2 linked regions of the Mytilus edulis genome follow. The protein of the gene in region 1 interacts with the protein of each later gene in a pairwise test. Links are inferred from orthologs where the notes say so. Each region holds a gene or a part of one and is shown on either strand. Other genes may lie near its edges.

Region 1 (16,466 bases):
GAAATACTTATGAACCACATCAACAAACGACTACCAATGAACATCAGGTTACTAGCTTGCAAGTTACAGCACCCTGAAAGAAAGCAACTACTGTTCTAAAAGTTTTGTTACAAGACCGTCTTATTTTAGAAAGACTACCATATGAACCCCCCTGGTTGAAGGAATTAGCAAAATCCACAAATACCGGGCGGGGTAAAAATGGAAGTCTTGTTCTTAGTTTCAGTGGAGTTTAAAACTATATCACTTGATATTATAGTATATAAGCTTTAGTTTAAAATCTTTGATTTTTTTATGGCTTTTATTTGTCGTGTATATATGTAAAAGAAGATGGTGTATGATTGCCAATGAGACAACTGTCCACAAGATACCAAATGACAAAGAAATTAACAATTAATATAGGTCACCATACGGCCTTTTACAATGAGCAAAGCCCATATCGCATAGTCAGCTATAAAACGACCGAAATGCATTTATTTTAATCATACTACATATACGGGGGAAAGATGTATTTTTTAGCTCCTAATTTTACTCAAAACATCTGTAAAAGAAGTCTATACTATATTTGAGCTACTTCAATCATTCAATACTCCGAGTAACCAGTAATCTGTAATCTGTAATCTGTATAATAAATTCTACCAGTCAAGGCACACCTCCAATTATAGCTGGAGTGACATCCACCACCACGAATATATATATAATTAAAAACCAATTCTTCAGAGAACAATTGAAGGTCTTTCCACCTCGATAATAAGAATGAAATTTAAAGAAACGAATGTCACTCCTTGTTGATGTAATTTGGTTCTTCAAATTGATAATAAAAAATAAGATTAATCGGTCTATGCAGAAGACTTAATTGTTTTTAATATGAACAGAAAACAATTTTTAGCAAAGGTCAAAATCTAGAACGTCAAATTGACCTTTGACCTTGACCTCAATTTCAAGGTCATATGTCAGTGATTTCAAATCAAAACACCCCAGGTCAATCGTTTGTATGGTTGTGGAGAAATACTGATTTCAAATACATAAGGGGAGAAAACTCCTATAAGAGTTAACCAAAACACTTCGACTGAAATAGGTTGAAGTTGCGCCTTTTTATAAACAGTAATTTGGCAAACAAATCAAATCATTACCTGTAACAGTTTCTTTAAAATAACGATAACAAGCAAAATTCAAAATTTATAACATGACCTTGACCTTTGACCTTGACCTTAAATTCCTTCAAATGGACTAAGGACTTCATATCAAAAGACTGTAGGCCTATATAGTTACGATTTAAAATGTATGAATTTATCCAACAAATCGCCTTTCTTAAATTTTCAAAGGGAAATAACTCCCATAAGATGTCTTCTGATCACTCTAGTCAAAACAAAGCAAATCCTTCTCAAGAGTAGACGAACAATTTGGTGAAAACAGTTTGCTGAAATCTATTACGGTTTTAGAGATATAGCGATAACAAGGAAAAGGGGAAGCGGGGAGATAACTCCTATAAGAATAAGTGTTCGGTCACACAGGGTGAGTTTTGAAACCCCCATTACTGTACAAAATCATTGGCCAAAAAATCCATTTGATATGTTGTAAGACAAAAAAGCATCTCAGACGGCAGAAGAAAAAAAAAAAAAAATAATCAGAAGAAAAACAAAAGGTCTTTCCACGAAAAGTGGAAAGACCTAATTATCACACAAATAATGGTTCCATCCACCGGCCGAATATTATATACACACATGCCAATTTATACTATACGCAATAGGCAAATTTAAAAATTATCTAAATAAGAAGTGATAATTTGGACTGTCTTATGCTGAGTCACTTACATAAGAATTTAATTATATATAATTATATATAATTAACCAATAGTCTTAAACTTTCCTCCTCTTTTTGAGTTGTTTAGTATTCAGACCGAGAAGTCTATATCTTGTTGTATGTAGTAGGTGTAACATTTTCCTACATTGAGGTTCAAGAAGTTTTGATAAATTATCAAATATTTGATCACTGTTATTTTTGCAATAGTTGTAAGGATCGCAAATCAATCTGAATAGTTCAATGTTATTGACTCTGTTGCTCTCAGAGAAAATTCTACCAGCAGTTCTCACTATCTTTTCCAATATGGGTTTTCTTACAGCATCTAAAGTTACACAAGTAAGCAGGAAATGGGATAATGTTTCTTCTCCATTTTTGCATAATTGACATGTTGGGTCCACTGCATTAGAGTTATATTTGGCTCTTTGGGATTGTAGGATGTATACCCCTGTTGCAATTTTCACTCGCGGTGGCAATTTTTGTATTATTTTTGGGTCAGAAGTAGATATACTGACTAACGGATGACAATGACCAAGGCTGTATATTGGAGATAAATATTGTAGGCTATTGAAATGTTCTTTCTCATCCAAGATCTTTCTATGCCAGTATGTTTTAATTTTATTTACCATGCTTCTTTTCCATGTTTCTTTTGTTGTTATTGTATCCAAAGATTCTACTGGGTCTGTTAGTTGATATTTAAAACAAATTTTCTTTGCATCTATGAACCAACTGTTGCTTTTGCACGATTTAATTTTCAATTAACGATTTGCTATTTTCCATTCAACAGTTGATTTGTCAGAACATAGAATATTTCCAAGTAAAGTTATAATTTTAATATCAATTTCAGCATTTATGGGTAGTAATCCAGATAATAAATATATAGCCGGGGTTGCAGTTGATATTGGTAACGATAATATTTGTTTTATCGTTTTCTTGTAGAAAGATTGTAGTATTTTCAAAGATTTGCTGTTGGTCATTACAACATCTAGTCCATATAATAGAATGGGCATAACATATGTTCTGAAGGTGGATATAGATGTAGATGGGTCTAGTCCATTTTCTCCATGCAAGCCACTTGCCATTAAACTGTATAAAGCTCTTCTTGCCTTCTTGATGTTTTCCTCAGCAGTTACTAGTTGTGTGTTACAGTTCGATCTTTGTATCCCAACATGTGTGGTTTTATCAACTGTAGGCATTTCCCTATCATCCATAAGAAGTGTCGTATCATTATGGGCATTGGTGTTGGTTTGGATAGGTAGTACAACGCTTTTAGTAGGTTGTAGTATATATGACTTTCTTTTGCTGTAATCGTAACTATGTTGACTAGTATTTGTGCTTCAAACTGAGAATTACTAGTTATGGTAGGATCATCAGCACAAGTAGGCGCACTACAGTTGATCGTTCCAATATGTCCTCCAAACCCGGTGTTACATATTTCGTTTAATAGATCGTTTACATAAACTTTGTAAAGGTCGGCACTAAGAGTGCCACCTTGTCGGACACCTTGTTCAATATTAAATGCATTGGATTGTTCACCGTTCAATTTGACACTGGATCTTGCATTTTTATATAGATCATCAATCATGAGTATTTCTTGCGGTGTGAGTCCCATATGAAATAATTTACGTATAAGGCTCGAATGTTTTACTGGTCAAAGGCCGACTTAGCATCTAGCATAACAAATATTGTCTCTTTTTCAGATCTTTGTTCTCTCGTTGAAATTCCTCCATAATTAATGAGCAATATAATTTAAAGGAGATGCATTCTTGGTAAAGCCTCGCTGGAGTGGATTTTGTATACATATAATTTTGGGATTGATGCGAAATTTAAGTACTGTTTCTATGATCTTTGATAGAGTTGGAGTTATTGTGATGCCTCTATATTTTTTTGCGTCATTCTTGTTGCCTTTATTTTTGAAGACTGGTGTTAATATTCCAAATTTAATAACATCAGGTATAAAGCAGAATTCAAAAGAACTGTTTAGTAGAGTTTGTAAATATGAGGCAAGTATTTCTCCACCATGAATTAAATTTTCAGCAGTGACTCCATAGGTATCCGGGGATTTGTTTCGATTAAGACTTTTAATGGCATTCACGATCTCTTGTTTCTCTACTGGAATATGCCTGAAGTCATGTTTGCATATATCTATGATAGTAGCATATTCGTTGTCTACCTGCTCAATATATGCTTGGTCGAATTGACTGTTGTCACTTTGTTTAGCAAGATTTGCAAAGTGTTCTCTAAAGCCCTCCAATATTCCCCCTTCTGTGTTGTATTTTTGTCCGTTTACATTTAGCTCATCAATATGCATTCCAAATCTTCCTCTTTGACGTCGAATAAGTTTGAAAAATAAATTGGAGTTGTTACTTTTGGCATTAATCAGTTCGCTTTTCCTTTCTAGTTGTTGTTTTGCTAGTGTTAATCGGCATTCTTTTCTAAGGTTACAAGTTGTTACTTTCTTCTTCTGTAACCACTGATTATTGGGATCATTAGGTCGGTTGTTCTGTTTCCAATCATAGTATGCATTCTTCTTGTCAGTTATTGCTTGACGAATTTCTGGTGTCATCACTTGTAGTTTTGATTTCTTCTTCCTTATCTGTTTGGATGGTCCTGAGGTAGATGCCGCCTTGGATAGTAGCTGATTTAAGTCTATATAAGCATGTTCAATATTCTTTATAGATTGGAGGTTTTTGTTCAGTTCTAATATGCCATTTTTTTCGAGCCTGCAAGCAGAAAGCTCGACATAGGGATAGTGATCCGGCGGCGGCGGCGGCGGCAGTGTTAGCTCACTTCTTAAAAGCTATATATTTTAGAAGGTGGAAGACCTGGATGCTTCATATTTTGTATATAGATGCCTCATGTTACGAAGTTTCCGTCAGTCACATGTCCATTGTCCTTGACCTCATTTTCATGGTTCAGTATCACTTGAAAAAAAAGTTCAGATTTTTTGAAATGTTAAATTCTCTCTTACTGTAAGTAATAGGATAACTATATTTAGTATGTGCGTACCTTGGAAGGTTGTCATGCCCGTCAGACAGTTTTCACTTGACCTCGACCTCATTTCATGGATCAGTGAACAAGGTTAAGTTTTGGTGGTCAAGTCCATATCTCAGATACTATAAGCAATAGGTCTAGTATATTCGGTGTATGGAAGGACTGTTAGGTGTACATGTCCAACTGGCAGGTGTCAGCTGACCTTGACCTCATTTTCATGGTTTAGTGGTTATAGTTAAGTTTTTGTGTTTTGGTCTGTTTTTCTCATAATTTATGCAATAGGTTTACTATATGTGTTGTATGGAATGATTGTAAGGTGTACATATCTAGCGGGCAGATGTCATCTAACCTTGACCTCATTTTCATGGTTCAGTGGTTATAGTTAAGTTTTTGTGTTTAGGTCTGTTTTTCTCATACTTTATGCAATAGGTTTACTATATTTGTTGTATGGAATGATTGTATGGTGTACATGTCTAGCGGGCAGATGTCATCTGACCTTGACCTCATTTTCATGGTTCAGTGGTCAAAGTTAAGTTTTTGAGTTTTGGTCTTTTTATCTAATACTATATGTCATAGGTCAACTATATTTGGTGTATGGAAATATTTTATGATCTATATGTCAGTCGTGCAGGTTTTATTTGACCTTGACCTGGTTTTCACGGTTCATTGCTCAGTGTTAAGTTTTTGTGCTTTGGTCTATTTTCTTAAACTATAAGCAATAGGTCAACTATATTTGTTGTATGGAAGCATTGTTAGATGTACATGTCTGCCTGGCATATATATGGTTCAACTGACCTTGACCTCATTTTCATGGTTCATGTTAAGTTTATGTGACGGTCGTAATAAAGCTTTATATTTAGGAGTATCAACATAATATCAATGATTAGTAAAGAAGGCGAGACATTTCAGTGTGTGCACTCTTGTCTATTGTTGAGTTATTTTTCTCAATATCTACTTTGTCCCAGTTGATTTTCGGAGTCGAACATATCCTTTTGTTAGGTTTATTGTGCATACAATATTCATATTTAATTCTTGCTACGATGGGGTAGTGGTCTGAAATGTTTCCAGGTATGTTTTCAAGCTTGATGATTTTAACAATACTCCTGCTGAAATTTTCGCTATATAAGAAGAAGTCAATGTAAGTTGAGTCGCAACCATTTGGGTGTATAAAAGTTGGACCTAGGTCTTTAGTTAAAAGATTATGTTCTTTCATAAATTCCTGAAGATGGTTTGATCTTTTACTATTGGAAAATTGGCTTGCATTTTCATTTAAATCTCCTCCAAGCAGTATGATGTGAGTATCTTTAAATTTTGAATATATATTTCGTGCAGTAGATCTATACACTCCTGAAATTCTTCAATACTGTCTGGTGACCCCTTACAAGGCAGATATACTGATATGATTAAAAGTGGTTCAGCAGCACTGAATTCAATACATTGTAAAATTGAGAATGGAAATGGGGAATGTGTCAAAGAGACAACAACCCGACCAAATAAAAAACAACAGCAGAGGGTCACCAACAGGTCTTCAATGTAGCGAGAAATTCCCGCACCCGGAGGCGTCCATCAGCTGGCCCCTAAACAAATATATACTAGTCCAGTGGTAATGAACGCCATACTAATTTCCAAAATGTACACAAGAAACTAAAATTAAAATAATACAAGACTAACAAAGGCCAGAGGCTCCTGACTTGGGACAGGCGCAACAATGAGGCGGGGTTAAACATGTTTGTGAGATCTCAACCCTCCCCCTATACCTCTAACCAATGTAGAAAAGTAAACGCATAACAATGCAAACATTAAAATTCAGTTCAAGAGAAGTCCGAGTCTGATGTCAGAAGATGTAACCAAAGAAAATAAACAAAATGACAATAATACATAAATAACAACAGACTACTAGCAGTTAACTGACATGCCAGCTCCAGACTTCAATTAAACTGACTGAAAGATTATGATTTCATCATATGAACATCAGGCACAATCCTTCCCGTTAGGGGTTTAATATTATACCATCATAACATATATGGGAAGAACATAACCCGTGTCATGCCAACATGTTTTTAGAATAAATGTGTTTAGTTCCGATGCAAAGACCTTATCAGTGACTCAATATTAACGCCAAAATATGCAATCTTTAATGACTTGACAACAGTATTGTAATCATATCCCTTCTTAATAAGTCTATTCAAAGGTTTTGTAAGTTTCTGAGGTGAATACTGACACCTTTGTGCTTTATAAAGAATATTTCCATAAAAAATTGGATGTGAAATACCTGAACATATTAGAAGTCTGCATGTTGAGCTATATTTACGAATGATGTCTTTATACCGATGATAAAATTTAGTAAATGTTTTGACTAGTTTGTGATATCGAAAACCCTGGTGTAATAATTTTTCAGTAATACATAAATTTCTCTCGTTAAAATCTAAAACATTGTTACATACACGAGCGAATCTTACAAGTTGAGATATATAAACACCGTAAGATGGTGACAAGGGAACGTCACCATCTAAAAACGGATAATTAACGATAGGAAATGAAAAATCATCCCTTTTATCATAAATTTTAGTATTCAGCTTTCCATTAGTGATATAGATATCAAGATCGAGAAAAGGGCAGTGGACATTGTTAGTATTAGCTTTATTTAAAGTAAGTTCAACAGGATAAATTTCATTAATATACATACTGAAGTCGTCATTATTGAGAGCCAAAAATATCATCCAAATATCTAAAAGTATTATGAAATTTGTTTATCAGATGTTGTTTCGATGGGTCTTTGCTTATTTTTGTCATAAATTGTAACTCATAACAATACAAAAACAGGTCCGCAATAAGTGGTGCACAGTTTGTCCCCATTGGAATTCCGATAATCTGACGATATACGGAATCCCCAAAGCGAACAAAAATGTTATCTAGTAAAATTTCAAGGGCATATATAGTATCAAAGCATGTCCAATTAACATAGTTTTTTTGTTTATTGCTACTAAAAAATGAGTTTGAACATATATATTCACATTCTGATTTTTTGAATGCCCATTTAATTAAGTGTGTGAATTTTTTCTTAATGAGAATGTGAGGCAATGTGGTATACAGTGTAGAAAAATCAAAACTTTGAACAGATTCAAAATCACCAATATAAGCATGCAATTTATCAAGTACTTCCAACGAGTTCTTGACACTCCAAAAGTAATTTATTCCACTATTTTCGAAGGCCTTATTTGAACAATTTATAATCAGGTTTTTAATTGTACCAATTGTGCTGGTAAGAAGAATAGACAATTTAGTAGTTGAACAATGGCTATACGTTCGTTCCGATCTGGAAGTTGTGTTATATAGCTATCAAGTTGTTTTTTCCACATGATTGCAACACCTTTGATACCGGTCCGAAATAGTGTGAACCTTTGATACCCGAAATCCGCATATCAAGTTCAAATCTGTATTAAATAGGTATTGTAATGAGCTTATAATTATGTATATTCATAACCTCGATTAGTTGAAGATCAACAAGTTTAAAACAATGACGTCCGCATTATCTGTGAGAACACAAATAGGAATTAGGAATACAGTAATTTTCCAAGCTTAATTTAAATAAGAATTAAATACCAATTTCAAATAATATTACAAAATTACATCTGAATTGACTAATAAATCTTTCTATAACTACACGCTATCATATATGTGCTAAATTATATATGATATCCTTGGATTTTATTTCAACTTTCTTCTTGAATGCACGTTTATACTATAGTGGTATGCTATTCAGCTGTGACATTTGAATTTCAATATTTTTCCTTTAAAAATCGATCGAGCAAATCGTTATATTACAGTAACATAATATTCCAATAATCACAGAGATAATATATATCTACATGTATTTGTTGTTAAGTAGAAATATCGGTTTTATATAGCACATGCTAACGGCAGAACTCTTGAGCAGCAAAATGGTGAGGAAAACGTTAAGAAAATCGAAGCCGATCGATAATGAACGCTACGCCTCGATGAAAGATAAATGATCGACTAACAAGCTTTAATATTTATATCCCGTTATTGTGTGACAACATTACAGAAGAGAATCCGTTTCAATGAATGGAACATATTGTAATAATTATGTTTTGTCACCACCACATTTGACTGATGACATAGAAACCAAAGATTGTTGATGAAGGGGAGGTAGACTCGTTACTTCATGGAGTTCAATACGACGAATAACCACATGTGAAAAATCACAACATATCAATTCGTTTTCATTCATTGACATTTGGGATTTAACGACGGAAATTGTAAATATAACTGTACTACAGATTTAAGTACTCGTATATATAGGAATACTCACAATGTAAGCAATCTGTTGTAACTTGTCACTTTATATTTATTATGAGGGAATATATGTGGAATCAGTGTAGTACAGACTGAGACTGAATATTCCGTCAAGATGACAAACACTACTGCGATAGATGACTGTCTGTCAGAAAGGAGATGGTACATTTTCTTGCTCTCCAGTCTCTTCACATTTATAGCGGGAATTGTTGTTATTGCCGTATACCGTCTAATATTGTGGATATGTTGTCACAAAAGAAAAAAAATACCTCAAGCAAAAGTGGCAAATCATACAGGACCTTTACCTATTCCTGAAAAGAGGAAAGGCTCCCAAACAGTCGGTGGGGCTGCGGGAGGTACCATTTTCTTAAAGACCCCAGACCCAGAAATAGGATGGATGACCGAGGCAAAAGACTGGGCTGGCGAGCTTATTTCTGGCCAGACAATGACTGGAAGAATCTTGGTAAGTTGGTCTATTTCTGTTTACTTGTAGATCATCCCATGATTCAGTCTTAAATAACTAGAACTGATATTTTGTCTTTAAAATAAGTTGCATATGATTTTGAAACATATTTTTCTAAAAAAAAAACTAATATGCTTACATGCTTTTATTTAATTATTTTTAAAAGTTATTTTGGCTGCAAGTTCCTACAATGTTTTTATTACTCCAACCAATGTAAAAATGTAGTATAAACCCGAGGATAAGTAAACAAAAAATACACGTGTAGTATTCTATGCGTTTGATGATTTCTATGTATTACGAATTCTTGGCAACCTATCAGTCAGTGTTATGCAAAGAGTGATGTTTGTTACCCTAGCGATGAATGTATAGGATGGAAAAGAATATATAAGTTATAACATATGTGCTCACTCAAGAATACAACAGACAATGATAGATAATTGCTCATATGATTTCCATTCTATATATTATACCATCAGCTGCTGTCACTACGAATAAGTCGATAGTTTTAATTAAAAATGTTCTTGTACAACTCATCAACTATACCAGGCTACGACAAACGCCTGTTTCGTTTACATATATACAAGACTCGTCAGTACCGCTCGAATTAAAACAGTTAGAAGGCCAAATTTAGTTCGAAGTTGGACAGCAAATACAATTGAAAATTCCAAAAATGTATGCCTTTATATACGGTTAAGCCAATCTATGAGTAAGCAAAACTTAGTAAATCGAATAATTCTATAGTTTTATAGTTTATAAATCACAATGTATATATATATGCAATAACACTTGAGTTCTATGTATATGTAAAGTAATATATGTCATTGATATGCAATAACTGTTTAGTTTCCAGTTCCTTTGTATTTGTAAAGAAATACATGTGATATATATGCAATTCTCCATTTGTAAAGTATTTACATGTAATGTTTTATGATACTAATAATTCATTTTTCACAATACAAATATAGATTTTAGAAGTTTAGAAGAGTTTATTTAATTATAATTCTAAAATCAATTTCGTTCGATACGTAGATTCGGATTCAATATTTCATTAGAGTCTTGCCGCTTGCTATAAATAAATCCCTTATTCATATAAAAAAAGCAACAACCGACAGAAACATAAACATGAAATACAAATGACATTTCATAAAAAGATAACTTCAAATTGGACTTTGAGAGTCTGTCAATATCCTTGTCGTCTGACCTAAGTTCTATAGACATTATATCATTTGTACTTATGTACATATTTTACGGCTTTATAAGCAGTGCTCAGACTTGCACCTTCGAGACAAAAATCGATTAAAATGGATCGCTCCACAGTTATACTGCATGGTTACACGCTAACATATAAAGCGTGCACTTCTCGACTGAAAGCTTCCGAATAGTATCATAAATGTATGTACCGTGTAAGATACTGGAACAGATCATCTACGATCACATGGTAAAACATATAGAAAATGTCAGAGAGCTTACATTGTCTTAAACCATTGATTAAGGTCCGGCTATTCGTGTGAACCGAACTACTGGACATATTGCATAACTTCATGAAACTATGATGCTGGTCACCAAACTAAGGTCGACGTTGCTGGACTTCTCCACGGCAGTCGACACCCAGCAACGCAATAATTATATAGAAGAATAATATTTTATTTCATTAAAGGGCCCAAGCATTTTACAAAACATAACATTATAACTTGAGATTAAAACAAATAACATTCGGCAATGAAATCAAATGATATATAACTTTCTTAAGTAAATGTTTGAAAATCTTAAGCTTTTATAACACGCTGGTTATTACTGTATTGAAAAAAATAATATACAATACATAGTTAACTAACAGATATGTATAAAGTTGTATAGTCCTTTAGGTTCAGCATGTTTCTAGTTAATACAGTAATAACCAGCGTGGAGAAGTCCAGCATACAGTTTTGTAAAAATATCGACACTGACGAAGACCATTTGTTAAGCCGAAATATATATATACATGTGTTTCAAAAGCATGAAAGGAAGCTACATAGTTAACTTGAATGCAGTTGACGATACCATTGGGATATAAGAACGTTTTCATTGATAGAAGAAAGGAAAAGAGAATGTATTAATCAATATCATCTTCATTTCCATATTCTTAAGAAGATTTAAAAACCAATATCTGTTTGACTTTTAAATCAATAGGTAAAATTACAGCAATTTTTTTTAATATGTATGTATATACTTCTCTTAATGTTTGTATGTAAAACTATTCATATAATTTTAAGTTGATCAACATTTTCTACACTAAAAAGCTAGTTTAAAAGTCTAAATAAACTAGACCGCAAATATTATGTAATAGGATCATTCAATAAATCGTTAGATATTTTCTTAAAGTCCGGGAAAATGAAAGTCGATATTGATGAAGGTGATTCTGAAGAAGCGACATCACAAGTATCACAAGGAACCGTGCTCTGTCGATTACATCAATGACCTGCCAGATATCGGGGGTTGGGGATACTTCGATCCTTTTGTGGTAGGGGAGCAGCTGAGTTATCAAGTACTTTGTCCTTTTCATAAACTATGAGTTTTAAAAGTGCATACCCTATCGTATCTAAGACTATAGTTATCACGTGTGTGCTATTTCAAGGAGAGATAATAGATTTGTGTTGTCAGTTTATTTTCGACTTGTGAGTTTAAATTTCCCTTTGGTGTCTTTACTTGAAATTTATCTGATGGATTTCAATTGCCTCTGTGTCTGAAAAAAACCCCATAGAAAACTTTGCCATAGACTGCAGAATTGGTTAAAATGCAAAGAAGTGTTACATCTAGAACAGGGATACATTGTTCAGCCTTGAGCCTTCAACTCTAACAGCTCCAACATAGCCCATAAACTAACTGAATATAGGACTGTACACATCTGTAAATATACAAGTCAATGGACAACTCACATCTTCAATGGAGTCAAGAAAGAAGACTCAACACATGGCTTTCTCAGACTAAATCTACAAATGTGTCCAAAAGACTGCACAAAACATCTTACATATCAATGGAAAGATCCACAATGGAATATGGAACAATGGAAACATATATACACCATGAATGCACAAACGACTTACACCAACAACAAAGTAGTTGCTTAAATCCAAATACTCCTTGATCCTGATGGGTTTTTCGGGGGATGGAGCACCACTTTTGTTTGTCAACTAAAATGCTTGGGCCCCCTTTTATAGGACTTGCATGTGTTTGAAATCCTTTTAAAAATGTCTGGAACCTACGTTGTTTGGTCTCTGATGGATCGTAGTCGTCTTATTGACAATCACACCACATGCATGTATACCTATTTATTTTTTTCATTTAGAAAAGATCAAACGGTTGCGATAATTTCAAATCAAGACAAGAGCAATTGGTTACCACTTGAAAATGCTATTTGACTTAGATAAAAGATGACTTGATCTGCCGTGCAGAACAAGCCAATGAAGCCACCTATCAATCCTGACTTTGAATTTCTATAGTTATAGTAAATATAAAAGGATTATCAAACCTATAAACGTGTTAAGATCTGTTAAGACTTAGAAAGTGTCAGTATCCTGGTCTTAGCAGAAACAATCATAATAGAAATTCAAGATATCATCGGTTTTTGGACATCCTTGTCACAGATTTTTTGTTAAAACTTGCAAGACTGGCTGCTTAAACATTTGATTCATTTCAATCATTTTCTAGCATACAGTGTGCAACAGTTGGAATCAGCCGATAGTGTAGGATTTAATAATGTCCCCAATGATAAAATGTCCACCGGACACATTTTCATAGTAAATACTGTCCATGGACAATTTTTACTTATTTAAATATGTCCTAGACATAATTTCCTATGAAAATATGTCCTCATGTATGAAAAAGTGTCCATGAACATGGACATTATTCACTACCATAATATTGTCCAGGTGGACATTTTTTCACAGGACATTGTGTCCGCCAAGGGATTTTTTGATATAATTAAAGTATTAAATGATATCCATTGCCCTTATTATTACTGGACGCATTTTAACTTTAATTGCGGACTTTAATTAAATATTACTTTGACATAGAGATTTCTCATTATCTCTCATACCATCCTTATCTTCATATTTATATCTTTTGATATAATTATATACATGTATAATTCAAACTCAAAAAAGTAACATATGCTGTTCAGTATCATTTTCCTTGGAGGACACAATTTAATAACATTTACTACGAAAATGTCTTCTCACTGTTCTGTAGATGGACCATATTTCATAACAGTTGCTGTAAAATGCTGTCCACTAAGGAGACAATATTTCATGACAATGGACATAATTTATTTTCTATTGCCTTTTTTCCTGCCAAATAAATATAGTAAAGTTCTTCAGATTTGATTGTACACTTTCTTCTTATTGTTATTCTTTCATTGTCACTACAATTTGCTGGGAATTTCTCTATATTCACTTCAATCCATTATTTGTTTGTTTACATTTGTATTTTGATCAATTTCTCATCAATCCTTCATAATTTGATTAAAATCCAAGTATAATAAAACTTTTTAATGACATTTGTATTACTTCCCTTGGAGGACACAATTTAATAGCAACTACTATGAAAATTTGTCCTGTGGGTGGACACTATTTCATATCTTTTGCAGTAAAAATCTGTCCATTTGAGGGACACTATTCCATGGGAATGGACATTATTAAATACCTAAATTCTATGAAAAACTGTCCACATGGACACTTTTTCATAGGACACTATTATGTCTTACAATAGCTTCCATTCAGCTTTACGATTACGTCAATATAATACCCTTATTTGCATGTTCACATTGCATCATAACTTAGTAGTTTCCGACGCGAGTGTCACGATATTGGTTTGGAGAATAGTTTTTAGATATCCGGTTTGTTTTTTCCTATAGTATAATTGGTGATTTTGGTTTTGTTTTTTGTACATGATCTATCAACTAATAATAATGCAGTTATAATCATTGGACTAATTTAAGTATCATACAATTGAGAATTCACATAGCCCCTACGTTAAGAATTTCAACAGGCTTTTTAATATAGACATCAACCATAGACATAATGATATAGCCTAAATGACTTTGTATTATATAAGAGACATCGTCTACGTATATTTGTACATATGTCTCACTCTCATGTTGTATGTTTCTGATAGGAAATATAATTCATATGAGATCGAGAGTTCGTCAATATGTCACAAGTTAACAAATGCAATTATACTATTCCCAAATACGAACTAAAAGTTAAACCCTATTTAGTCCAGATAATCTGTAAGGTACCTTTCTAATGTGATCTTAGATCATTAAATGGATCCCATGTTGAAGAAGAAAGGCTTCAAAGCAAATATTTTAAATGATTAAAATAGCCAAGGTAACGTCATAATTATTTGGACTACTCCCTTTTACGATATTTTAATATCAATGTGGTAAAATTACGGTAGTAAATTTGCCAGTAAGCCCAAAGTTGATCATGCTTATCAGGGCCGTAACTAGGGTTCGAATTCAGGGGAGGCAGGGTTTGAGGGCCTCCGATTTTTTTTCTCAGTGAAATGGCTAAAATTCACCCGTCTTCCTTCGATTTCCTTACTTTTATAAACATCAGTATTGCTTGAACCTGGAAGCAATTTTTATGCAAAAACAAGCTGTCTGAGCCTGAGATTGCTGTTCGGGTTGAGCCAAGGCTCCGTCTAGATGGCCGTACTTTGACCTATAATTATTAACATTAAAATCATTGTGACCGCAGCCGCCAATTTTTTTTTCTCTCAGTAAAATGTCTAAAAATAACCCGTTTCCTTCTATTTCCTTACTTCAAGAGAACATCAGTATCGCTGGATCCTGGAATCAATTTTTATGCAAACAATTATTATCTGTATTTAAAGATAATTTTGTTAGAAATCAAACTGGTAAGTTTTAAAATAACATATAAACCAAGATCATAGAACGCAAGATATTTTTTTTTTATGGAGGACCTTGAATTTCAATATCGTTGTAAGCTGAACAGACATGTATATAACTACAACCAGGGACTTTCTATTCCAAGTATATAGTTAATATAGAAAGTCCCTGCTACAACGAATGGGAGTGTTTAACTACTAAGGCATGGACCATAATGTTCTTGTACGATCGAGAGACGTAAACAAAAAAACGATCCAACAGCTGATTCAGCCAGTAACGAATTTCCGATATCATAAAAGATTCACAATACAAAGGGAACTTCCTCTGCTTAATTGAGCCCCTAAATGAATGTGAATAGTTAAGTTTTTTCAAAATTGTCGAAAGCAAAGTTTCATATGTGTTCTCGTACGAATATATATTCTGAATAACAGACAGAGGCACACGAAAAAATAAATAAAACTATACTTAAACTGTTTACTTTTGATCAAAAATCCGGAAAATGACAGATATATTACGTATCATGATAACACTGTTACAACTGAAACTTGTGTTGTTTATAATATAAATTTAAGTTCTTCGTGTACATATTTCATTTTATTACTTCAAAAAAAAAAAATTGGTGTAGAAATTTCAGGGGAGGCAACTGCCTCCCCTGCCTCATAGGTAGTTATGACCCTGCTTATGTTAACAGTTCTGCCAGTAAAACATGAATCATCAGGGGAGCGAATAAAATTTATCTCATCAGAAAAAAAAGTTGATACTTGGTATTATAGCCTGACAACCTTGATTTTTCTCCCGTATGGAATTGCCAGGTCTTGATCTATCATATTTTGAAAGTGGTTGTGGGATAGCAGCTTGGATTTTTTCTTATCATGCAAATATCAATATTATTATTTATTTATTTTTCAGGTTGGTTTGGTGTTTCTTTTGAGTATAGCATCACTTATGATCTACTTTATTGATGCATCAACGTAAGTAAATTATTTCAATCCTCAAATTTAAGTT
Region 2 (17,033 bases), on another chromosome or scaffold:
AAAATCTTTGAGAGCATTTGCTTTACAGAAAATTTAGCTTTGCCCTATATAACCATGATTTAGTTTTTTATATCTTTGAACCTATATATATAACCATGATGGCTTTTAATTCAGATGCCAGTCATATATATCATTCATTAAAGAAAAAAATCTATAAGTCTGTGATATGATTGATTGCTGGGTACTATTGATAAAAATAAAAGAATGTGTAAGAGGACAGGAATGCCCCTGTTGAAGCTTCAAGCAAATGGAAATTAGGACAGAAGGAAGGAAAGACAGAAAGTCAAGGTTGACATTCTTTGCCTTTTCGCCAACAGCAGAGGCATATAATAATTAACTGAAACATTTTTAGATGAAAATAATAATTGTATGTATTGTTGGGAGCAATTAAAAGAAATACTATGCTATAGGCATGTTAGAGTTTATGGTAAATTCAACAATGTTCAATATCTAATTCACAGGATTTCATGCTTGTAACTTATTATTCACTTTGTTTCAGGTGAATCGTTGAAAAACCAATGATCATGACACTATTTCTTTTTTTTTTCATTCATTGTAAAATAGCCATTCTATTTCCTTTTCGTCAGTACACATACCCCCTCTTTACAACTATCATATAAATGATCATTATGATAATGATCGATATATATATGTATATACCGAAGCTAATCAATCATAAAAGTAAAATCTATAGTAGCTCTGATGTACATATCATTTACAATTTTCAAAGTATACAATGGTAAGAATAAACAATATTTTCTGCTATTGACAAACTATTTTGAGTGCTTGTAATCATGCTGATGTTACCAATCAATAGTGTTATAAGAAATATAGATAGAATTCAATGAAAACTGGCCAATTCTTATTGGGTTTATCAAATCTAGAACTGGAGTGCAATGTGACGACAAAAATATCTTGTATTGCCAATTTCATTGTGATGTCCAGCATATGTAACCCATTTTGATTGAAAGTATATCTTAACTTGCAAAGCAAAAGAACTGGAGTGCAAAGTGACGACAAAAATATCTTGTATTGCCAATTTCATTGTGATGTCCAGCATATGTAACCCATTTTGATTGAAAGTATATCTTAACTTGCAAAGCAAAAGAATTTCAAATTATAATTCACTTTCTCTCATCTATCACTGTCTATTCATTAACTTGTGACACTTTTACTATATTATTTTATTGAATCAACAAATTATGCCAAAGGATTTGTGCAATATTTGATCTCTTATAATCAGTAATGTTCCTAACTTTTCAGAAACTGAAAAAAAATGGGTTTGTTAAAAAAAATAACATATGACTTGAATATTAAGTCAGTCAGTCACAGTCCATGCACTATGTTTTTTGGTGTATTTTTTAGCTACAGAGCAGTGTATAAATTCACTTACCTAGATGCATTCGATCATTATCTATCAAAATTAATTATACAGTCATGAATGTAACAATAAGTTACTCGACTGACGGGGAAAGACACTTCCTTACATCATTGTGTTTTTCCTTTAATTTTTCAATAATCAATGATAATTGCACAGTTACAACATTGTACAAAAAGACAGGAAATTCCGATTATTATGATACAATTTTCCTGTACATTTAATCTTAACAATAGATCAATTATCTTTTGCTTGTATTAAACAAAGAGATGCAGGATGAGGACAAAATAACCTAAAATTTACCTTTTAATGTTTTAGCAGTTTACAAAACCCTGCTATCAATATGAATATGTATAAAAAAACTCAAGCCATGGATCTCTGTCATAAAACTTTACTTAGTGCTTGGAGAACAACATTTATGATCCAGTATTTTGATTAGTTGAAAGTTCTGAGTACATGAGTACAATAATTGATAAATTTGTATAACTGCAATACTGCAAGGTCACTTCCTATAAAACCTAAAAATTAAACATGATCAAGGAGTCCTTATGTTAATAAAAGTAATATTGTTTCATCATTTGAGATGACTGTCAAATGATATATAAACCAACACTAAATAGCTAAATCTACTTTTGTCAAGTATGCCATTCACATAAAATTGTACTTCATGTGTCAAATGTATCATGTGTACATGTATGATGCCAATAATAGAGTATTTGATACATAATACATGATTACTTAGTAATCTAACTACATGTTCATCACGTACATGTTTGTCTGAATTGGGTACTTTGTTTCTGTAATCTTAAAATTTTAAGTTGTTTTTCTCTTTCTTTTAATTTTTGGCCATTAATTTCATGATTTGCTATTTGATATATAAATATATATAATATAAGCACCACATTTAATATTTCACATACTGGAAACTGAATCGACACATTTAACATTTTATCTGCATTGAGGTCTTAAAACTTTTCCACTTTTTTTCAGGAAATTATTTCTACTAATTTTCTTTACAATCTATTAATTAGCACAATATTTTTTTTTATTATGATTATAAAAGTTCAAATATATAATATTTTGGCACAAATATATATTATTTAAATAAAAGTAGTAATATTTTAATTTTTTAACCCTTGAAAATTAATCTAAATTGGCTGTTAACCAAGAGATATGTTTACAATTTTATGCAAATATACATGACTTTCTTTGATCTAAATAATTTGTTATTCAAAATAAACATTTAATCCATTTATATATATATATTTTAAATACTATGATATACCCTTACATCATAAATACACAGGTAAAGCTCTATATCAAAAATTTATCATTTATATACAAGTATATAACTATATATCTGTTAGTCATGTTTAAAAGGTCATCATGCATGGGGTTATCTTGTTCAGATCAATCTTAATTTACAAAATATTACAAACATCTTGTTTTCACCATATGTTCATGTCAGATGTTTAAATAAATTAAATGAGCACAATTTGTTAATCAATTTTTTAATAAATTTTATATGCATCTTATGTTACATTCTTAGGCTACATTTGCTGTTAATGAAATATGTTTTAGAGTACATTGAGTTTTATTGTTTACATCTTTGTTAAAATCAAAGCGCAAATGCACTGAAAATGGCAAAGTTGGTCTAAATATGTATTTTTTAGGTTTCTGCCTGGAACTGCTGCTTTGAGTGGAAACGTTTTATGCTGACTATCAAAAATATTTTGTCTCAAATTTGTTACTGAATATTTTGAAACTAATATGTTCAGCCATATACAACATGTATAATGATATATATAGCAAAATTAGAAAATCTATCACATGACAAATTTACTGAAAAGGTCTTAGATTGGGTCTTAACTATAATTAAATAAAATTTCTTCTACTGTGAAAGTACTTTAATTCATGGGAATCAATTTTCAGGGTTTAAACAACATTTACATGTTCGTCGGTTTTTAACTTCGTGGATTTTAGTTTTCTAAAAAAAAAACGAAGGAAAAAATTGAAGATAATAGAAACGAAGATTACAAATTGTATAGATTGAAGGAAATTGGATAAAGTCATCCACGAAAACCACGAAAATTGGTTCCCCACGGATAAAAGTACTTTCACAGTATTACAGTCCCATCAGAATGCATGTAGCAAAACAAATCTTGAGTAAAAATAGAGAAGTAAATTTTTAAACAGAATCAAATGTCAACCTCGTACTTAATTTGGCTTTTTTAACCTTTTATTAATCGAATGACACTGATTAGTCTTTTATAGACGAAACGTGCATCTGGCGCAAATACAAACTTCCAACATGTCCAACCCTAATATCTATGATGAGTTTATTTACCAACTAGACAGTTACTTTGTACATTTCTAAATAGAGAAATTTAATATAGCACTTTCTCAAGAATGTAAAGTTTAAAACTGAACACATTTAATATTATACTGTTATAAGAGAGATATATATATTGTACAAGATCAGTCATTCTTAAAAATCAATAATCAGATGATTTTAAACACCTGGATTAAATTACAAATCATCAACCACTTTTAAAGTAAAAGTTAATTTTAAATCCAGAACTTGAAATTCTGACTTTCTATATAAGTATATATAATACATATATTTTCCTCTAATTCTTTGACAATTAATCCCTTTCTGCACCCATTTTATTAATTAACAGCTGCACCATGAGTGCATGATACGCCCATCGTCTAGTGTGAAGTTTTATGCAATAATAAATAGTTTCTGAGATACAGCGCGACAATTGTGAAAACCCCCTTCTTTTTTTTTTATACAAAAACTCAATAACTCCCAAAAGATTTTTGAATCATCACCAAAAAAGAATACAGATCTTTATATTAATATAACTAAGAAGTGTGTAAAGTTTTAAGAAATAATAATTGATGGGTTTTGAGATAGAGTGTGACATGTGAACACCCCCCCCCCTTTTTTTTTTTACAAAAAACTCAACAACTATAAAAAAAAATTTGAATCATCACCAAAAAATGTACACACCTTTAGACATGTTAGAATAATATAACTAAAAAGTGTGTAAAGTTCAAAACAATAATCATAAATTGTTTTTGAGATACGGCGCGACATGTGAACAAAACCCCCCCCATGTTTTACTCAAAAAGTTAAAATCTTATTTTCACCAAAAGGTATAGAGATCGTTTGGCCATTTGACCATCATAAGAAACAACTGTATTAAGTTTCATGAAATTTGAATAAGTGCATGGTTCTTTAGTTACGGTGCAACATGTGGATACTGGACAGATGGTCGGATGGACGGAAGACAGACATTTGAATACCATAATACTTCCCTTCAAAATTTTGATGGGCATATAAAAAATGTAACCAACATGTGGTTGCTAGTGATCTCAGAAGATGATTGGATGAGTTTAAGGGTCATAACCTTTATCAGCTCCCAGAGTAGATGAATAAAAATATCGTGCACATCATTTCAAGATAAGAGAAATTGTTTAAATTCCACTATTAACTCACTGTAGTTGCCCAAACTTTATGCATTTGATTCCTAGCCAAAAACTAATATGGCTTCTTAATGTAGAGAATCTTGATATTTTAATATCTGTCTGTGAGTTAGTTGATGAAGACAAAATATAACTTGAAAGATAAATATTTAAATCAGGCTTTCTGCACTACATGCACTAGGCTCTTATTAGGTTAGCATGGTGGGGTATAGGACATATATCGCATAAGTTCTATTAATACCTTTCTGTTTGTGATATTTTTGATTAAACTGGTAATATTTTATCTTTTTCGTAATATGTGCACTTTGGTATGTCAACAAGTGAAACTGCGAGCTACTGCTCACTGATGATACCCCCGCCGCAAGTGGATAATATTAATAGTGTAAAAATATGCAAGTGTTCGGTAAACAGGAAGTTGTCCAGTGATGAATCTGAAAACGCATCACACAGTATAGCTGACTTATATAAATCCTGAAACCAAATTTCAGAAATCCTTGTATTGTAGTTCCTGAGAAAAATGTGACGAAAATTTTCAAGTTGGCTATCATGTGTAACGTCATACAAGTGTTCGGTAAACAGGAAGTTGTCGAGTGATGAATCTGAAAACGCATCACACGGTATAGCTGACTTATATAAATCCTGAAACCAAATTTCAGAAATCCTTGTATTGTAGTTCCTGAGAAAAATGTGACGAAAATTTTCAACTTGGATATCATGTGTAAAATCATACAAGTTTTTTCGGTAAACAGGAAGTTGTCAAGTGATGAATCTGAAAACGCATCACACGGTATGGCTGACATATATAAATGTTGCTACCAAATTACAGAAAGGGTGGATGTGTAGTTCCTGAGAAAAATGTGACGAAAGTTTCATGGGACGGACTGACTGACGGACGGACTGACGGACGGAGGTAAAACAGTATACCCCCCCTTTTTTAAAGCGGGGGTATAATTAGCTTTGTCCCTTGGTGCCTCTTGCAGTTGTGTCACTTTAAATAGTACTGACTCCTCTGCACCAGGCACGAGGATGACATACCAGTTATATGCAACTTCTTACAATATCTTACTATATATCATTAATGTCCCGATACACATTTTAAGAAGCACCCACCATGCCATATAGCACCGTCCATTGGTGCCTCCTGCAGTTCAGCTAGATATATTCAGCCTACTCACAGTATTCTTTTTTGTTACTTTCTAGAGCTGTGTCTGAGACAAAGGTTTTATGTATACTCATATATACATACTGACATAATAATATATGAAAACTGTTGTTTCTTATTTGTGTTTGTAAAGTGCTATGTATACTGTATTGTTTATTATATTTGTAAAATAATAATATTATAATGATATTATATAATTCTCCTTGTGAGCCCATTTTATGGAAATAAAGCATCTTCTATATACTAGAACACACGGGTCTGTGATATTGCGGGTCCTTAACTGAATTAAAGTATATAACTATGCGTAAGACTTATTTTAGCCTGGATTTTTATTATTGGTATTGTCATCTGATAAAGTATGAATAGTCATGCTGATTATAAGCATGATAAGATGCACAGTTTTCTCTGCTTTCGAAATCTTTCTGTTTGAACCTGTTGACCTGGAACTTATCAATTATTGGTAATATTAATTATTTAGAAAGAAAAAAAGGGCCTGGAATGGCCTGGAATGGAGTAATTTATAATCAACAGCATTGTCCTATATTAGTTATAAATAATGTTGATATCTTTGATTCACCGTTTTTTACATCATGCCAGCAATCAAATTAAAAGCTGTACGCCTTTTTTTAAGTCTAGATTTTTAGTATTTGTATTGTCATCTCATAAAGTCATCAAGTCATGCTGATTAAAATACTACAATAGGATGCAATGTGACAATGATTGAATTAAGTAATATAAAAGGCAAACGAGTATCTGAGTTTTACCTAAAATTGTACATTGTACTTAAGTAATAGGCCTTATGAGCGAGTTATCATCCCTAGTAAATATATACTTACTGATTTTTATGTAAATACTATCAAGGTCCCCAGACTTTAACTTTTTTAATCATTGTTATTGGCTAAAGTAGTGTTGTTTTTTTGTTTAAGATGCACATGACTCAATAACACGCAAAAGACCACTTTCAAGTTAAGTTTTACACCAGAAAAGTTCAATTATGGGCACCTTTTTGTCTTCATTTACTAGAGAGAGGGATCGCCTGTATGCCTGCGCTAGAAAAGTGCATTATGCGTCATTGCGATCTTCATTAAATTTATGCAGCTGGAGGACCACAGACACTTGTTTCTATGCATGGGAAGGTTGAATATCCATGTAAATAGAAGCTTCTATTTATATGGATAGTCGACCTTCCCATGGATAGAAACAAGTACCTGTGTGGATGACCTAGAAATAATATTTGTTCCATAAGTACTGGATCAAATACCCCAATGACAGCAGTGCATATTATAAGAATTTAATTTGCCAAATTATTTATGCAATATAGCATCCTATTTTTTCAACCACTCGTTCAACCAGGGACAACCGCTGACTGACCTAAGGGGGGCCTGCTCCAGTCATGTTTCAATGATTCCCTATATAATCAACCAAATTTTTCCCATGAAAGGGGGGCCCGGGCCCTCCTGGATCTGCCTATGGAGTTGAGTTCAGTTGTCCTGGATTTTAAAACACTTTAAAAACCTTTTGATCCGCCCCCTTTATTAACATTTATTGTTTCCGTTTTACTCTATTACATATTCTTTGGAAAATAATAGCATTATATTTGATAAATACATACTTTCATTGTTATTTAGTCCAATGCAAGTACAACATCAAATGGTTTCTGTAACTTTAAACTCTTATTCGGTTGTTGAATTTAGTTATGTCCCTTTAGTTTCTGATAGCTAGATTTCTAAAGACTTAAATTTAATATGATCAAACCTTTTTATCTTGTTTCCAACTTAAATGGGACACCATCTCCATGGTATTCACCCATGTCATTTCTACGAAACTGTCATCCCGTGGTTTAGGCAGGATTTATGTTTAAACTGGTGCTAATCTCCGCCAGTGCGAGTGGCAACCTGAACTTGCCGCTTAAGCACCCTGAAATAAAAACACTATTTTAAAAATCATAATCTTCTCATCATACATAATCATAACAAATTGATGATTGTCAATTTATTTATTCATGTTTATTAGAATAAGTCTAAAATGAATTATTCGATAAATACGTCATTTGTTAATATTCTTTAGTTCTTAAGCGACACAACCTTTGACCCAGCTTGGAAGCTGGAAAGATGGCAGGGTTGAGAAATGAAGCCCGGTTGTCGTTGGAAATTCGAACTAAATCTATCGAACAGACGTTGATTCCATTGGTAACACAGGTATTTTCTTACAACTGTATTTATAGAGTATAAAAGCTTCAAGTTTTAATTGCAACTGTAATAAAATGAGATTAAATTGCCATGAATAAAAGAACAATGCAAATTATTTATTAATCATGTTAATATTTACATAAGTTAAAACATACATGTATATTTGCATGTTACTCCAACTTACATGCATATTGCAAAAGATAGAAATGATGGAAGAATTTTCAGACCAGGATCCTATATCCTGCTCCCTCCAGGCTACAGTACATGTACATATAGAAATATATTTCATATGTATTTGAGAAATAAACAAAGAACTATACAGGCATAATAAAGACCAAATTCCATTTCATGCTCTTTCTTAGAACTTTTCTACATATATGTGTCACAATGCTCTATGTCACATAGAGGTGAAAATACGGCCATATTTGTCCATTTGTTATGATGAACCTTAAGAACTGTGATTGTTCAATGATGTTTACATCGTTTTGATATATATCATCTGCATAATAATATGGGATCATACAATTACATGTTTGTTGACTTAACATTTGGACAATTGGACCAGTAAATATTTGTCTATCAGACATCTGACAGAAGGGACAGATTTATTACTTACCATGCCTACAATGTACTGTAAACATTGTAATTCAAAAAGTATTGCGATGATTTTATCATAGTGAAAAATGCGAGTGGGTTATAATCATATGTGATAATCGCAATAATTTGAACTCTCATTCTGAAATTTTTTATATGAATTTAAGAGGATTATTTTCAATAACGCAAAACAAAATCACATTTAAGTCTTGAAATGACAATATCTCAACAAAACATGCAATAATTTCTGAATTTACAGTAATCATACACATGTATTTTATTAATTTTGATATGATGATTTATGGCATGGGCCCAGTTGACACAACATTTGAAGAAATACATTGTACTATAGCTAAAAGTGTTCATAATATAATGTTTTATGTTATTTGGGGGAAACATCATTGGTACATTTGACTTTTAAATGCTGTATCTTTTCATTAAACACATGAAATAACATGAATTAAGTAGACCCTGTAGACCAAATTTTGTAAATCAGCAAATTTTATTTAAAATCAAATACAATGAACTGATGAAAATGATGAATATACATCATGCTTTTACAAATAGCATCTAAAGTATATACACATGTACATGTACATGCATGCATGCATAGGAAACAAATCCATAAATTTAATGCAAAAATACAAAACCTGCTTAACCAGGTTAACATAAAATGTAGCAAACCTGATAAACCTTCTAAGTAATACATGTTGAGAAAATTCATTTTTAATTACATTAAACTTTTTAAGCTTATTATGATAAATATTGTTTACAAATAACTGCAGTCATAATTGATTATGACAGATATTACATAATATTATTATATAATTGTTTACACCTGGTACAAGTTAAGTTCAGGTAAATACAGGATCTCCTTTGATCACAATTCCATTATAATATACAAAGTGACATCTGTTTACCATTATCAAGGACTATTTTGTTGCAAGAATAGTTTTATTAAGATATATATACATTGTTTATGGCATAGGCATTCATTTTTCTGATGCAAAAACTGGAGATTTATTTTCCGGACAGAAAATGATGCAATCTCATGCAGTTATATACTTGAATAGAATGTCAATGCTTCATATAACATGTACATATATTAATCAATCTAATCTACATGATATATATGCCTACAATGGCTTATAATATTTATAACATGATGCAATTAAATATATATGATTTGATATACTTTATTTATGGTGGGTCAAGTTAATTTATATTCATCGAAAATGTAAAATTTCTGAAAGAGTACTAGTCCTTTCCTGAAATTATTGCAATAACCTTAAATATATATATTGTGATGACAATTAGACGCACTCAATCAAGTTAGGGAGCTGCCATTTGATTTTTATGGGGGCCTAGGATGAAATTTGAAAAAAAGGCAGGACAGGCATGACCAGATGACAAGAGTTTTGAGTAAAAAAAAAGGTAGGATGACAATTTATGTAAAAATAAGTCAGGATGACGGCTTCCTCTGCCTCATTTTTAGACTTATACCTCGAATTTGACATACACAGTCATCTCAGTACCAGAATCTATGACAAACGAGACGATTTTAATTTTGAAATTATCAATTTCCCCCACCTTAGTAGTAATATACCAACTTCACCTGCATATGGAATATACATTTCCCAACTTATTAGGTATTCAAGAGCTTGCAGCTCCTATTCAGACTTTGTAAAACGTCACCAGTGTCTGAGCAGAAAATTGATGAACCAGGGATATGTCAAAGAACGTCTCGTCCTTTTTCTAAAAAAGTTCATCGGAAGATACCCAGAACTTGTTGATAAATATTCCGTATCAACTTCACAAATAATACAAGATGGTCTTGAAGTATAGATTTTGCGTACTGACGTTTGTTATCATCTTAATTACGTATTATAGTATTCTTTTATATGTCTTTTTTAGATATTCATTTGAAGTGACTCTGTGGTTATGTAAAACCACATACTTTGAACGGCAAAATTATTTCATTTATTGATATTACTTTTACTTAAGGATCTTGACATACTATGAATGACAAAACTATTTTATTCAATAAGACTACTTTTTCTGTTTAGTCTGTTTTTATGATATACATTTGACGTGAAACTGTACTTATGTATCCCGTCATACTTTGAACCACACCATTGTTTTATTTATTATTATTACTTTTACTGTTAAATCTGGTTTTTGTTATATCTACTTTACGTGAGTCTGCATTTATGTATGCCGTCATACGACAAAATTATTTTTATGTCTACCTGTGCGAATTTCAAACGCGCAATTTTACACCAGTAATGAAAACCTTCTATCATTTATGGGTAGACTTTACATAGATAAATTCAGCCGTATTTGACGTGAAACTGTACTTATGTATCCCGTCATACTTTGAACCACACCATTATTTTATTTATTATTTTTACTGTAAGTCTGTTTTTTGTTATATCTACTTTACATGAGTCTGCATTTATGTATGCCGTCATACGACAAAATAATTTTTATGTCTACCTGTGCGAATTTCAAACGCGCAATTTTACACCAGTAATGAAAACCTTCTTTCATTTATGGGTAGACTTTACATAGATAAATTCAGCCGTATAGGAAAAGCAAATTGAGAATGTTGAATTTGATGTATGCCTTTTTGTGCTACTTTGTTACATTTGTTGTTTATGTAGTGATATTAAGATGATAACACAATATTGACTGTTGTACCCCTATTTTTGACATTTTTACTCTTTGAGTATGTTTGTTTTGTTCATGCATCGTTGACAATGTAATGGAATTTGATGCGACTCAACATTTTTCGAGGGATTAGACAAGGATGTCCGTGCAGTGCTTTAATTTTCGTTATTGCTGTCGAGATATTAGCATGTAGAATAAGACAAGACAATAATATTAAAGGATTTGAAATCAAAATAGATGGGAAAACACATTCTTTAAAAATCAGTCAACTTGCAGATGACACCACACTTTTTTTAAAAACAAAACAAGACATTTCAAAAGTATTAAACATGATTGAAATTTTTGGCACTTTGTCAGGGCTTAAATTAAACAGATCAAAAACAGAAGGAATTTGGTTAGGAAAACACAAACATTGCAAAGAAAAATATGAAAATATCAACTTTACAAACAAACCAGTGAAATGTTTAGGAATTTTTTTCGGTTGTAACAAAAATGAATGCCAAAAACTAAATGCAGAAAAACAAATAGAAAAGTCTGAAAAGATCATAAAAAATTGGGAGAAAAGACATTTAACAATGATCGGTAAAATAACAGTTATCAAATCATTGATCATACCAAACATTACCTTTTTAGCGTCTGTTTCACATATTGAAAAAGAATATATTGTTAAATTTAAAAAAATTATCTATAATTTTTTATGGAAAAGCAAAAGAGAAAAGGTTAAACGCACAGTACTCAGTTTTTGTGAACTAGATGGGGGTTTAAAAATGATTAACATAGATAAATATATAGAATCTATCAAAATTGGGTGGATCAAAAGGTTAATTAATGGAGATTTAAAAAATTGGAAAATTATTCCACTTTTTTATTTTAATAAGTTTGGAAAAGATTTCCTTATCTTTCACATGAATATTGATAACACTGACTCTATTCCAGAGTTAAAGGAGCTGCCAAAATTTTATTTCAACATTGTAAAAGCATGGATAAATAATAAAAAAGTACAACAGCCAAAAAACTTTAGATCTATACGTCAAGAAGTTATTTGGGGAAATCGTTTCTTAAAGATAAAAAATAAATGCCTTTTATTCCAAAACTGGATAAATAGTAATTTTATCTTTATTAATGACATCATTGATGAAAATGGTAATATAGAAGAAAATTTTATTTTACAAAAGCTTAAAATAAAAAGTAACTGGATGTCAGAATTTTACCAATTAAAGAAAGCTTTTCCAAGAGAATGGTTAAAGATTTTAAAACAGGAAAACTCAAAGAAAACTAAAGTAAAAACGCCCTATGCAATACATATTATTGATAATTGCAATAAAAAAGAAAAATTAGAAAATGTAGATACCAGAAAAATTTATAATATATTAATTGAGAATGAAATTGAAATACCTGTTGGTTTTTATAAATGGAAGACAAAGCTTAACCTTGTATACATTAAGAGTCTTTCATGTAATATGTTAAAGTTTGTTCATTATTTTTTAAAAGATAATAAATACAAAGTGTTCCGTTGGAAATTGCTACACTTTATTTTACCTTGTAAAGTTTTATTGAAAAAGTGGAAGATATGCGATATTTCAAATTGTCATTATTGCAACACCACAGAGGATTATGATCACATGTTTCTAACATGTCACTATCTTGATAATTTCTGGAGAAAAGTAAAAACACTCTTAGAAAAACTGAATATTAATAATAATATTCTAACATTAAAAAATTTAGTTTGGGGTTATAAAATAAATGATGAACAATACTATGAAATTAATTATTTGATTACAATTATAATGTTTTGTATATACAAGGCAAACTATATGTCTGAACAGAAAACAAAATCTTTAGATGTATATACTGTATTTAAAACAGAATTCATGTACAGCTACAAAATGCAGGCAACTAGTAAACATACTAAGAATAAATGTCTACTTGATAAAGTTGTCAAATTGTTGTAATAATTTTTATGTTTGCAAATGTATAATCTAGCAAAAAATAAGAATAGAAAAAGATAAATAATTTAAAATGTCCAGATCAGGAACTGATTTCGAGAAATAATTTCACCTTTCACCGATAAGCGTGGAGATAACGGTATTGCTCTCCACTTTTTTATCGTTAAAAAAATGGGGAAAAAATTAATTACATTCTATTTTTATCAGAATCGATACACATATATTGTAATATTTGTTTATACATACCTGTGAATTGCATATATTAATCATAAATCATTATTAAAACTGGTATTTCCAAACCAGGAAGAGATATCAATTCAATAATAGGAAACCGATAACGGCAAGTGTGAATTATTTCCGGAAACTTTTTAATTCTAAACAGACTAGATATACATATTGATAAATTAGAATTTCATATATAATTATTTATTTTACGGTTGAAAATGAATTATATACACTATAGTCTAGATAAATTGTACTTTATCATTGTTACACAGAGAGAAATGATATTAAAATGCAGATACTCTTCACTAGGAGGCTGGACTAGTGGAGTCAATTGTTAACAGCAAGCAATATATTGTTGAATAAAAAAAAAAAAAAAAAAAGGAATTTGATGCGACTGTCATACAAGTGAGAGGTTTAGCTAGCTATAAAACCAGGTTCAATCCACCATTTTCTACATTAGAAAATGCCTGTACCAAGTCAGGAATATGACAGTTGTTATCCATTCGTTTGATGTGCTTGGACTTTTGATTTTGCCTTTTGATTTTTGATTTTCCTTTTTGAATTTTCCTCGGAGTTCAGTATTTTTGTGTTTTTACTTTTTATGTAAAAATAAGTCAGGATAAACTAAGAAAAAAAAGGCAGGACCGAAAAGAGTGAAAAATAAAAAGGCAGGACAGAGATAACAACTAAAAAAAAATACAGGAGAAAATTTTTCATCCTAGCCCCTTAAAAATCAAATGGTAGCTCCCTTAGTGCCATCAAGGATATCTCACATAAATGGCAATGGCACTCATATGCCATGTATGTACAAATGTATGTTTTATAATCAACAAAATTAGGTATATATATATATATGTGTAACATTTTTTTCTGAGGGGCCCATCAAGGTCGTTAAAAACTTCCATTTGTTGTTTGAGGGGCCTTAGTCATTTAGTGGACTAGTGGTGAATCATCATATGAGCGTAGTCCAACTACTTCTATTATAAGCCTGTCAACACTGAGGTAGTGTGAGTTCAAACACTGTATGTGGACAGTGTTAACGTTGGAGGCTTGTAGATGGTTAAGGGAGTATGTTTATGATAACAGAAGAATGAGATTTGCATTAACCATGAAATTATGCATATAGATAATTATTACTTCAATTATGGCATGTATGGAACTTTAATTAACAGGTAAACAAATTTGTCCATGGCCAAGAGTGGTCAATCATTAATTCAAATTGACAAAAGTCAAATGTCTATAAATAACTGTGACACTTAACACTACATACAAAATATTAAAAGACTGCTGGAATTGATAAAGTTGAGCAACAATAACCCAATTTAAAAAAAAATGATCGTTGAGTACAATCCAGTGGCAAGTATTTCATGCATATTCAGTACAATAGAATGCAGTACTGTATGTATCTCCAATAACCATGTTCATGCATATGTTATTAGTACTACACTACATGTATATACATGATATATATACATGATACATTTTGTACATGTATACCTTGTATACAAATAACATGCATATTTAGAATTTTTGGTAAAATTCAGATTCTTATTTCAAAATTTAGCAATTTTGGGCATTGGTTTATTATGTTTATAAACAGCTGATAAAGTTATTAAATGTACAAATGTACATTGAATGTAATTAGTTTTATTTTAAATTAATTCCTCCATTTTTTTGCTTGCAATTTATTTTAAAACTTTAAGACACTTTGGTTTTCACCAAGCAAACATTTCACTTTGAATTTATTGACAAGGCTAGACTGCTTATTAGATGTATTCAATTTTAAAGTACAATATACAAAATTTATCTTTAATAGTAATCAGACTTACATACAGACTTATATCTTAATATTTTCCTTTCAGTAATTATTTACATACTGTAAGAACTGAAGTGTTAATGTCAATTTAATTAATAGTTCAGGTTACAAACTGTGTGATAGATCTCTTCACATCCATGTCAAGTAGATAGAAAGTCTAAATATTTTGATTTACTCAATACCAGCTAAAATCTTGATAACCTGGTAAAAAATAACCCAGTAAGAATTGTTATCTTTGCTATTTTTATTGTCCTCCCTCACACTTCAAGTTGCAGGGATATAGATATATTGGGTGATTGTCTGTTTGTCTGTCCATCCTGGCTTGCTAGAGCTCTTGTTTGTACAATTCTTGCTAGAATTATCAATTTCTATCAAACGCTTATATACAGTATGCAATGTCTTAGACTGTTTCAAAAATTGTATCTAACAATCAATTGATCACTCATATTTTTAATTTAAAGTGCAATACCCAATCAAATTATCTGAAATATGGTTAAAAATTATTGCAATTTTAATTAAAAACTGAATTAAAACCAATTAGTGATGTATTTGCTTATAACTTTTGGAAATTTATTCTTACTCATTGAAGGTAGCTACATTTATTTACATATTTCAAAACTTTGTTAAAAAAAGCCTTTCACTTATAATTGAAACATTTAAAAAGCTATATAAAAACTATAATAACTATTTCTTGTTCGTTCTTTAAATGCTATATATTAGATATTTTTGTCCAAATGAATTTGAAAAGGAGCATTTTACTGTATTAAAAAAAGCCCTAAAAACATTAAAAAAACTTCATGTCATGATTTCTTCAAAATTTAGATTATAAGATCTATTATAAAAATTGCATGAACTGAGAATTTGAATCAACATGTGATTCTTTCCTTCTTTCAAAATCTGACAGGGTTCTCCCAAATGGTCACTTAATCCTTTCAAGATATTAACATTGAGGTTGTAGTTTTCAAACTTCAAACTTTATTTATCAAACTCAGGCGCAGTAACCACGCTACAGGAGCATCAATTATATATTAAGAATATTAAATTAATTTTAAACCCTGCTAGGGCCAGGTAATGTGGGTACACATCTGATCTGTATAATTAACGATTTCCTACTGAAGGTCTTTATTGCAATACCATGGTATTCTGATTTCACCAACAAAAAGTGTCTACCCTGATCATGATGATACAGCTATTGAAGTGTGGTAAATAGTGTCAGTGCACAGTTGTAAAAAATATCAAATAAAATCCTGGAAAAAAAGAGAATTACTGTCTTGTGTCTAGAAATGATGTATCACATCCATATCACAATCTACATGTATATAAGCATCTCATTTAAGCAATATCATCGCATCACATTTAAGCAATATCATGGCATCACATTTAAGCAATATCATGGCATCACATTTAAGGAATATCATGGCATAATATGATGTTAAAAGGTCCAAGGGAGAAACAGTGGAAAGTGGGGACAAACACCAAACATTTTTTAAATAGATCAAGATTTCTTTTCTCAACTAGTTTATAACTGATGATAATTTTGCTGCAAAAACAGCTGTCATAC

What was found.
Region 2: the proteins of calcium-activated potassium channel slowpoke-like (region 1) and alpha-catulin-like interact in a two-hybrid assay, tested with the Caenorhabditis elegans proteins (2 studies listed by BioGRID, with this or other methods). The link is inferred for Mytilus edulis from reciprocal best matches to the Caenorhabditis elegans genes slo-1 and ctn-1.

What each region holds. Positions count from the first base shown.
Region 1 is NC_092352.1:16,474,501-16,490,966, reverse strand, and holds the start of calcium-activated potassium channel slowpoke-like, read left to right. Parts: upstream 1-8,121; 5' UTR 8,122-9,223; coding exon 9,224-9,571; intron 9,572-16,370; coding exon 16,371-16,432; intron 16,433-16,466. UniProt on the Caenorhabditis elegans protein: Potassium channel activated by both membrane depolarization or increase in cytosolic Ca(2+) that mediates export of K(+). Its activation dampens the excitatory events that elevate the cytosolic Ca(2+) concentration and/or depolarize the cell membrane.
Region 2 is NC_092357.1:32,304,771-32,321,803, forward strand, and holds the start of alpha-catulin-like, read left to right. Parts: upstream 1-8,104; 5' UTR 8,105-8,143; coding exon 8,144-8,230; intron 8,231-15,485; exon of another isoform or gene 15,486-15,501; intron 15,502-17,033. Other genes in the region: cytohesin-interacting protein-like, read right to left, coding at 7,788-7,847. UniProt on the Caenorhabditis elegans protein: Required for slo-1 potassium ion channel clustering at presynaptic terminals and in egg-laying muscles; clustering of slo-1 mediates the intoxicating and sedatory effects of ethanol on worms.